Linked DNA regions of Caenorhabditis elegans. The protein of the gene in region 1 interacts with the protein of each later gene in a pairwise test. Each region holds a gene or a part of one and is shown on either strand. Other genes may lie near its edges.

Evidence for each region.
Region 2: the proteins of sucl-2 (region 1) and him-10 interact in a two-hybrid assay, tested with the Caenorhabditis elegans proteins (one large-scale study listed by BioGRID).

Annotation. Positions count from the first base shown.
Region 1 is NC_003281.10:899,287-904,081, forward strand, and holds sucl-2 (Succinate--CoA ligase [ADP/GDP-forming] subunit alpha, mitochondrial), read right to left. Parts: upstream 2,127-4,795; 5' UTR 2,114-2,126; coding exon 1,994-2,113; intron 1,949-1,993; coding exon 1,645-1,948; intron 1,537-1,644; coding exon 995-1,536; 3' UTR 852-994; downstream 1-851. Other genes in the region: F23H11.2 (TATA box-binding protein-associated factor RNA polymerase I subunit B), read left to right, coding at 1-40, 208-565, 616-785; F23H11.4 (Rho-GAP domain-containing protein), read right to left, coding at 3,137-3,397, 3,501-3,893, 4,480-4,545, 4,617-4,795.
Region 2 is NC_003281.10:5,800,657-5,805,972, forward strand, and holds him-10 (Kinetochore protein Nuf2 homolog), read left to right. Parts: upstream 1-2,603; 5' UTR 2,604-2,608; coding exon 2,609-2,713; intron 2,714-2,764; coding exon 2,765-2,919; intron 2,920-2,965; coding exon 2,966-3,517; intron 3,518-3,573; coding exon 3,574-3,879; intron 3,880-3,936; coding exon 3,937-3,994; intron 3,995-4,041; coding exon 4,042-4,338; 3' UTR 4,339-4,456; downstream 4,457-5,316. Other genes in the region: polq-1 (DNA polymerase theta), read right to left, coding at 567-689, 1,160-1,804, 1,855-2,091, 2,144-2,267, 2,318-2,386; Homeobox protein ceh-10, read left to right, coding at 86-393; R12B2.3 (Ras-associating domain-containing protein), read left to right, coding at 4,954-4,958, 5,005-5,098, 5,237-5,316. UniProt on the Caenorhabditis elegans protein: Acts as a component of the essential kinetochore-associated NDC80 complex, which is required for chromosome segregation in mitosis and meiosis and spindle checkpoint activity.

The sequences.
Region 1 (4,795 bases):
GATTCAGAACTGCACGGCACGGCAAACTCATTTCAATCCAGTGAGATTTCAGCCACAGGGGTGGTGGGCGACTGATCGGTTACTCTGCAAATCGGCAATTTGTCAATTGGCAAAGTTATAACTTTGCCAGATTTGCTGGAAAATACCATTCGTCCCTGATTTTAGCTTTTTAGCGCCAGATATTTTATTTTGTATTATCTTTTCCAGGTAACCGGACCAATAAGATTCTACTTGAGCAATCAATCGTGTGATGATCTACTCGGAACTGCCGCTACATCATTCTCTCGTCGATTTCAATTTCTTCTCGATGCCCTCTCACTGATAATTGGTGAAGACAAGAAAGCTGTTTATGCAGCATTTGTGATGCTTGAAATGCATCTAACGTCTTCTGAGCGTATTCAGTCGATTCGCGACGATTTGCTCACGTCGTCTCCAATCACTTTGAAGTGTCAAAAATTTCGAAATTCAACTCATCATATTCCGCGAAAATACGGTGTCATTTCGGAAGTTCCTATTGATCGGATCGAAAATTTGCGATACTTCAGATTATCTCGACAGTTTTTCGGTTTGTGTTTCCAGTTTTCGCACGTGCCAGTGTGAAATGATGTATTTCAGAACACGAGGAAATGCCGACTACTATCAATATGGAGCTTATCGACTATCGTAATCAAGAGATTCGGGATTCCGTCACCGAGACAGAAGTCCAACGCGCTCAAAACAGAATCATGAAATTGTGTTACGAGTTTGAGCAGTTTTTTGGTATTTTAGCTGTTAAATTTTGGTGATCTCAATGCTGTTATTTTTATTGTTGATTGTTGATTGTTGATATTTTCTGTTGCATTTTTAATTTTGAAGAACTTATTTTATTCTTGAATTTTCTGAGAAAAAAATTAACTACTTAAATAGAAAATAGAATTAGACACAAAAGCTGACCCGGAAGAAAAATAGAAAAGGGTTAAATGAAAGTTTAAAATTGAAAAAAGAGAGGATTGTTCTAGCCGAGAAGAGCTTTCTGCATGGCAACACCAAGCTTTGCAGGACTATCAGTCACCACCACATTCGCATTGCGAAGAGCCTCGATCTTATCGCCAGCAGTACCCTTTCCACCAGCGATGATAGCTCCGGCGTGTCCCATTCTACGACCTGGTGGAGCAGTGACTCCAGCGATGAACGAAACAACTGGCTTGGCATTGGAACCAGAGTTGCGAGATTTCAAGAACTCGGCGGCTTGTTCCTCGGCTTGTCCTCCGATTTCTCCGATCAGAATGATTCCTTTAGTTTGTTCGTCCTCCAAGAACACTTCCAAACAATCAATGAAGTTAGTTCCGTTGAACGGATCACCTCCGATTCCAATGCAACGCGTTTGTCCAAGTCCGACGGTAGTTGTTTGATGAACAGCTTCGTAGGTTAGAGTTCCCGATCGGGACACAATTCCGATGCAACCCTTCTTGTGAATATGCCCTGGCATGATTCCAATCTTGCAATCTCCAGATGCAATGATTCCAGGGCAATTTGGCCCAAGTAGACGAGATTTGTCTGCAAATGAAAGTTCATGCAGTTTATAGAACTTTTCTAATTTTTTCAAAATTAGTTAATCTGTATTTTCAGGCCAAGTATCGATGTTATCTATCATACTATACTCACTTTGTTTTAAAAGTCTATTCTTGACGCGGACCATATCTTGCTGCGGAATTCCTTCAGTGATTGCCACAATCAAGCCAATTTCAGCATCCATAGCCTCGTGAATTGCACGAGCTGCTCCTGCGGCAGGAACATAGATGACAGTAGCGTCGGCTCCAGTGCGGTCTTTCGCTTCTGCGACGGATCCGAACACGGGAAGCCCGAGATGCGTTTGACCGGCTTTGTTCGGCGAGACTCCTCCAACAAGATTCGTGTTGTATTCGAGCATTTGCTTGCTGTGGAAGGTTCCCTGACGTCCGGTGAAACCCTGGAAACTAGAAATTTTTTATAAGTCGGCACAAACGTGTCTCACCTGGACAATAACTTTGGTGCTTTTGTTGATCATCAAGTTGTTACGGGTGTCATTATACACACTACGTGTGACTGCCGCACGGGTAGCAGCACGGGCCGCCGATGCCAAAGTTGAAGCCATTTGAGCACTGTACCTATAAAATATGATTTATTGGCTAAGGTATGTGAAACAAAAAAGCGAAGGAACTAAAGAAGGAGAACGATGGCATGATCATTTCATTTGAACCTTTGCCCCGTGGGAAATTGAGGCTACGTCGGGGCACTCAAGTGAATGAAATTGACTATAGCCTATACATAGATTGCTCTTTTTTATTAGGAAACATGTAAATCAATTCGATATCAATTCTTTGAAGAGCAAATGATGTGGCCATAAATATTTAATAAGATAATCTTAATGTTGTTTTAGAAACAGATCCGTAAAAAATTTCACACATTTAAAAACATTTATTATGGCTGCCACACACTAGAAATAGTTCTTCTTATCTGTTGAAACGGAGTGAAAAATGACAAGTGCAAAGTCTACGGGAGATTGACAGAGATCATTTTGCAAGAACACAGCAGGCGGATAGGAGAGTGAACAGAAAAAAATCTATTGATTCTAAGAAGAGAACCAGATTGTGGCTTTTTTTTTGCAGACCAGTCCGTGGAAAAAAGGAACGTCCTTCTAGGAACAATTGGGCAGATGTTCTATTTTTTCTAAAGTATCACATTTTAATGCAAAATAGAAAGTAATAACCGAAGAAATGTGGGGAAAATAGAACAAACACATACATTTTCCAAGAAAGGCGGTGAAATGCAAACGCGCTCCATAGATAATTTCGTTGGGCGGCAATATGAACCTGGATTTTTTGGACTTTTTCAAAAATTACTTTTCCAATTTTATTTAGATATTAAACCTAGGTAATTTAAAAATCTTACGAGATGTATAAATACATGTTATTTATTGCACTGTGAAGTAAATAAGGTAGTAGACTTTATACAGAATATTGATTTATATTTAAAAAAAAATATTTTGGGAAACAAATTCTTATTCAAAAACAATTTAGTTCAACAATGCAATTTCAAATACATCTAATATCACAGAAAGAAACATTGGTAATAGCAAAGAAGATGGCAATCATTAAAAAAATCATGAAATATAAATTCAAATATAAACGAGCGGTTCAGAATCGATACTTTTTGTAAAATGTGAAAGTGCTGTTAACCAGCGATTTCTGTCCGTTTCTTCTTTAAACGAGAAGCAGAAGCCAGGAAATCGGCTACTGGAATAGCCAGTTTTCGTCGAACAAATCATAGTTGCGTTGAACAAGTTTGGCGATTTTCTTGTTGGCTCGGTGCCAACATACCAAATCGAATCATCCATAGGCCACGCTTTCCAGAGTTTCTCGTTTCGGAACGCGACAATCTGAAAATCCGTAAAGTATATGCTAGAAATTATTTGAAAAGGAAAGAATCAATGTGTCGATTTACGGGATAGTGTATACTATGACGGATACACTAGCACATACCGAAGTCCCATTTTCAATCTTGACTTCATACGATTTGAATGTTCGTGACCCAGGCTCAGCGATTTTGATTTTCCCAGTAAAACATGACATATCAGTCCCGTTGAATTGATATTTATCATGATCAAACAATAGATATGCATCTTTACAATTCCAATCAATCCATTGAAGTACACATTTTGACATTTTCTGAGCATTCGGAAGTCGTCTGATTAGGTTTCCACCGGCTAGACACTCGAATATCGCATATGGAGAATCGGGTGGTCCGTCGAATCCACGTTTTGCAATAGCCTCTCTACAAACTTCCTCACTCGCCAAGCTCATTTTCACATTGAACGGGCGGTTTTCTTTCTCCCAAACGTGGATCGCCACGATGAAGTCGGGACTTGGCTTTTTCTGAAATTTTTGATAATTATTTCAAAGCTTGAATTTTTTCAAAAAAATTGGAAAATAAAAAAACTTTTTTTTATATTTTTCACGTGGTGTCAGAATGTCCCATTACGGTTTCATCTACAAAACATGTGGTTTTTACTCCAAAATAAGTGACGTCAGCACGTTCTTAACCATGCAAAATCAGTTGAGAAATATGCGTCTAAATTCCCGCCATTCCCGAAGATCAAACCAAAATTGGACACGCTGACGTGATTTTTCGAAAAGTCTCAAAAATCGAAATCATTTTCGTTATTTTAGGTTTTTCTGAGAAGTAGCATGGGATCTTTTCGTGTAAAAAAATGAGTGAAAAATTCAAAAACCGAGCCCACTTTCGAACCAATAAGAATCTGATTGGTCCAAAAATAGGAGTTCTAAATAATTTTGGAGAAAATTCAAAAAAAAATCTTGATTTTTTTTTGTTATTTTGTGGTTTTTTAATTTGAGACTATTTTGGAATAAAATCCCCATTAACGCTACTCCACCTTTCAAAAGCCATTTTCCAGGTCTCGTTATACCTATTGCTAAAAGCCTGAAAAAAAACAAACCGTACCGCATTAAACGATTTCTTCTCGGCATCATTAACCATCTGCCGACTCAACTCTTCCTCAATGCTGATCTGAAATTAGTTTCATAACTAATATTTTTTTGAAAATACTTGAATATTTAAATATTCAAGTATTTATTTACCTGAAAAACAACATCATATCCAGTGGTCAAATGAATTAGCACATTAATCTGATGATTATAACTCTCGCTGAACACTTTTTCATCCATTGCATCCGTCAAAAACAACGAAGCCGCAAAAACCTTTGCCAGATTCTCAACACTTGCTCGATTTTCTTGGGCGTGTTCTGATACGTTTTTCA
Region 2 (5,316 bases), 4.9 Mb from region 1:
CAGTGACACCACAATATTGCACCACTAATTACCCTGAACCACCTGCTCTGACCCATTTCATTCCCATATGATACATTGTTTTCAGGAATGCACAAGAAAAGTATGGAAGCTGCGGCTCACTTGGAGAGTGTTGAAAAATGTGATATGTCGGATAGTGATGATGATGACCGTCCGGTAACTCCTCCAGTGCAACGTCAAGTGAAAAACGAGTACAAACCACGAATAATTGAGCATGTTCAACAACAAGCTCCCCAACATCAGTCATCATTGAATTTCGATACTTCACTTGTTGTCAGTTCCTCACTTTCACAATTACATTTTCAGGATTCTCAAATGATTCCGAACAATAATGCTTCATTGAAGCTTTATCATGATTACAATAATCCCATGTAACTCTATTTTTCCGTGAATTTCAATGTCAATAACTATTACCTAAATAATAAATTAATCTGCTAATAACAACAATAATAATGAGCGGTCAGGAAACAACCACTTCTTTCTTTTTTCTTTTTAATCGCCGTTTGTCAAGTACTTATTTGAAGATTTTGCGGGAAAAGAAGACGTACCTCGTGTAGCATGTCCTGTTCTTCCCGCTCTTCCCACCATCTGACGGTAATTTAGAGAAGTGAGAGCCGATGGGCCACGTGGCTGAGCCTTGATGAGTACTCGTTCCGCAGGGAGATTTACGCCTGGAATTCTATTTTTTTATTTGGAAAAGAAGGTTTTAAACTTTTGAAAATGTAAAGTTTGAAAAATTATAATAGTTTTAATCTTAATATATCGACGAATTTGAACCTTTTATCTTATTTCATCAATAAGAAAAAAGAAAACAAAAATTTAATATTCTTCAGCTAAAAAGGGCCAAAATTGTATGCTATTATTCGAAAAATCGACATTTTGGAATCTCGAAAAAAAAACCGAAAAATTTTCGCTTTTCGATTTAAAAAAAAGGGAAGAGCGGGATTAGCAAACAACTGGAAATTCTTGAGTGAATAGTATTTTTTGAAAGTTTAAAGTAAATTTTTATCAACAAATCTTCACCCTAAATGAAAATTATTGTTTGATTTAATTTTTTCCCCAAAAATATTTCAACAAACATTTTGCTTTTAATTTCTTCCGATATTTCGGTTGACCACAATTAAAATTTTAAAACACTCACCTGAAGCCAAAGTACTTGTAGCCACAAGAATAACAATATTTTTCTCCCGAAATCCTAGTTCAATGCATTCTCTTTCCTCCATCGTCAATCCAGCATGATGATATGCTACTCCCCATGCAAGTGTTGACATAACATTCCGATCCTTGCAACCATTCCGTTCCAATCCATGCTTTATAAATAATAGTCCATTGGCTCGTTCTTTTAATATTTCCAACAATGAGCTGTCGGTTTTATTGATCTCATGGAATCTCGACGCAATATTCAAAGCAGTCTTCTCGGCATCAAGTTTCGAAGAAATCATTACCAAAGTCTGAGAATTGCGGCGAAAACTCTCTTCGGTAAGCAATATTAATGGATCTTCAGAGAATTCTCTTAGAACTTTGTTATCTCCAGATTTCCTCAACTCCGAACCAATTACAATATGATTTTGTAGAACAATTGGTCGAAATCTTGCTTCGAAAACTTTCGCACCGTCCAGCCATTTGCCTATTCGATAAAGTTCTGGAATAGTTGCACTCATTCCGATAATTCTAACTTTTTCCAGTGCAGATTGGTTCCAGAGCAAAACTTTCGAGAGCATGTGCTCAATGTGTGCACCACGAGACGAATCGAAAACCATGTGCATTTCATCAACGACTATCATTCCTGAAAGCTACTTTTTGTGAAAATTTTAAATTAAAATCGATTTATCTAACCAATTTCCTCAAACCAATCTTCTGATAATGCTCGATTTGTCAAACTTGCTGCTTTTTCGATGGTACAAACTGCCCCAAGCCACTCATTTGGATTTGAGGCCTGTGGACCAATGAAGCCACAGACAGAAATGTCATCTCGTCTCCAACACCGTTGAATTTGATGAAGTTTCTCTCGAGCCACGGAGATATAAGGAAGTACGAAGAGTACCTTTCTACCAGTTGAAGCGACTTTCCATGCTGAAAATTACAGTTTTTAAACATTTATTCTTTAAACCAGATAAAATAATACATAAAAGTTCAGCTACAATGCTTTTCCCAGCACTTGTTGGCGCACTGAATATCAAGTGTTGATCTTCAAATTGTCTTGCCTCATTCAACACATCAATCTGCCAATCGAACAGCGCTTTGATGTTCTGAAATTAAAAAAATTTTGTCCCTATTTCATCACAGCGATTTATGTTACCTGCTCTGCGTAATAATCGATGATTTTTGAAGAAACCCATTCTGGAAATCTACAGGAAGCCTCGTCCATCTTGTTTCATACTAAAAACTCTGATTTCAGACTGAAAAACATGTTTTTTTCAGCGAAGAAAACTAAAATTTGTTTGTGGCCGCGGTGGCCTAGTTTTCACGGCCGAGAAATGTCACATGTTTTGGCGCGCTCTTCGGCGAATTCAAATAAACTTTTTTGTTTTTAACAATTTCTAACTTTATTTTTGTGTTTTTAGAACTGAAATTCCATTTTTCAGGAGAAATGTCAAACGTTGTACTAATTGTGTATGATCCGCGGATGATTTCAAAGTATCTTGGTCAAAAATTGCATATGGGCCTTGTCGCCGATGACATTATCAAGCCAACCGTAAGTTTGAACAGAATATTGAATTCATCAGCACAAATAACCCGATTTCAGGCAGAAATAGCGCAACAAATATTTGCTAATTTTGTGAGGCTTGTGTTAAATGTGTCGGAAAGCTCGCTGACGACCCTTCCGCTGTCCGCCAACTGTGATTATGATCCAGAATTGCATAAAAAGAGCATTCCTATCATTATTCTCTTCCAATGCATGTAAGATTTTAATTTTAATGTTAGATTTGCTGAAATATTTTTTCAGGAAAGCATTTATCAAAGATAATTCTGGCAACAAGCTGGACTTGACGATGTGCGATCTCGTGACACCTGCAAAACACGAACATCGATTCAGAAAGCTGACAAGTTTTCTTGTAGATTTTCTGAAACTTCACGAATTGGCCACTCCAGCGTTCAATGAAATTAGCGAAGAGTTCAGTGATCGAAAGTTCGAAATGGAAAAGATTCGGGAAGAGTTGTTAGAAGCCGAGAAGAAGAAAAATGATCTTCTCGCGAAACAAAGCATAAGAAAACGTCATGAGCATGAATTAATCAACGAACAGAGCAATGCGAAGGCAGAACTTAAAAATGTTGTGAACGAATATACCGAAACTCGTCAAATTAATGAAGAACTCGACAAGCAGAAAGAAGAAGCTATTCTGCACATTCAAGCCCTCGAAAAGGAAATGCTAACTGGTAAAAAGACAATTGAGCATTTGAATGAAGAAGTTCTGACATCGCCGGAACAGCTGAAACAAGAAATGGAGGAAAGGAAACGTCACATTGAAGAGCTCCGCGATTGTCTTGAATCATCAAAGTACTGATATATCTTCAGTCTCTCCAAAAATTCAAAATAAAAGTAATTATTTTCAGAAAAGGCCTTCAAGCAAAACTCGAGGCTCGTGAAATTTGCATCAACTCGGAGAAGAACGTGCCAGTGATTATTGAGAAGATCCATCAGTGGACTGAAGTTCGAGAAGTTATCATTGACCTGATCGATGTTGAAAGTGAGAATCTTCGAAAGCTCAAGGAAATGGAGGAGCAATTGGATTTTATGATGAAGGAGATGGAAACGGCACAAAAGCGACTCGTCGAGCAGTCGGAGACTCATGAACAATTGCGTATAGAACACACGCAGAAAAGTGAAGAGCGTCAGCGTAGAATTGAGGAGATTACCGAGTGAGGAATTTATTTGATACTTTGAAAACATTTTTTTAAACGATGTAAATCTTTCAGGCAAATCGCAAATTTGAAAACTAGTCAGCCAGATGTGTCACAGGAAATTGCTAAAAAGGTTTTTGTCAGATCAATCTTCATAAAACTCACCAACATTTTTTTCAGAAGCAAGAACTCCTCGCTCTAAAAAACGCACACAGTGAGACGATTTCCCAAATCACCAACTCTTGCCAAGATGCTGTTGCAAAATTCGCAAAACTTAATGCAATGTTCAAAGAAACCCAGAAAGTAGCTTTTGAGAAGAACACTGCAGCTGCACGTGAAATGGAACGTCTAAAAAGCTCTCTTACCGGACGCCTTCTGAGTGATTACACATTCGGATCATCGACAATCGACGCCGGAGAGAACACGGAAAATTGTGATCCACAACCTAACGATTCGAGTTTTTCCGTTTTCAAATAGAATGACTCAACTCGAAAATTTCACTTCATTTGATCTCTATTCAATGTAAATGTTATGCTTTCTTCCATACCAATAACAAAATTTTAACTGAGTCTAAATAAATCATGTGGTCTTTATTTTCAAATGTTTTCTTTTCATTCCCAGGCTCTAGAAATTTCACACCAATTTACTTTTCAGGTAAGAATTCACTCAAGTGGTATTTACGGGGAGATTATGTGCCTCTGTTTTTAATTAAAAATAAAATTAGAAATTTTGAATTTTTTGCCTTGTATTTTTTTGTTTGCGTCTTTAAGACTACAGTAAGACAAAAAGTGGGCGTGGTTTCTTATTTTGGAGAAAGCTCAAACAGGGAATAAGTGAGAGTCGGAAGTTTTGAAACGTTTTTTGAAAAAAAAATTATCTTGAAATGAAAACTTTTCCAGAAATTTTAAACTTCTCTTCGCTCATTAGCTCTACAAGTTGGAATTGTCCTTCTGAATTGAATATTATCCTACCAAAATTCTAAATAAATTTAAATAAATCGTGCGGGCCTCGAGTTATTGCATTCAACATTGACATTTTTCGTTCATTTCTCAATTTTTGTATTGTATTTCTGAAAAATTCACTCTACAAATTATGCAGTAAGCTTTTTCAAATAATGTTCTTTTCAGATTTTATAATTTTCAGACCATTAGACCTTTCGGGTAAGAGATTAGTTCGACCAGATGATTCAAATGGTACAAGATCTTCCACTGATGATGTACATTCGATGTGCTCTCAGGTGAGCATTCATAGTACATGATGATGTTTTAGTTTTATATATGTAAAAGAAACGCTCTTTGAAGTTAATTGCTTTCCATGTGTATAAACTAATCATAAACTAAACTGCAAGAAATTAAAATAAAATTATATTTAAAAGCTCTCAAATCTGGGACCCCGATCTCTTCCAAATGCTCGTTCCCTTGGTAGCTCAACATCTTCAATTCTTCTGCTTCATAA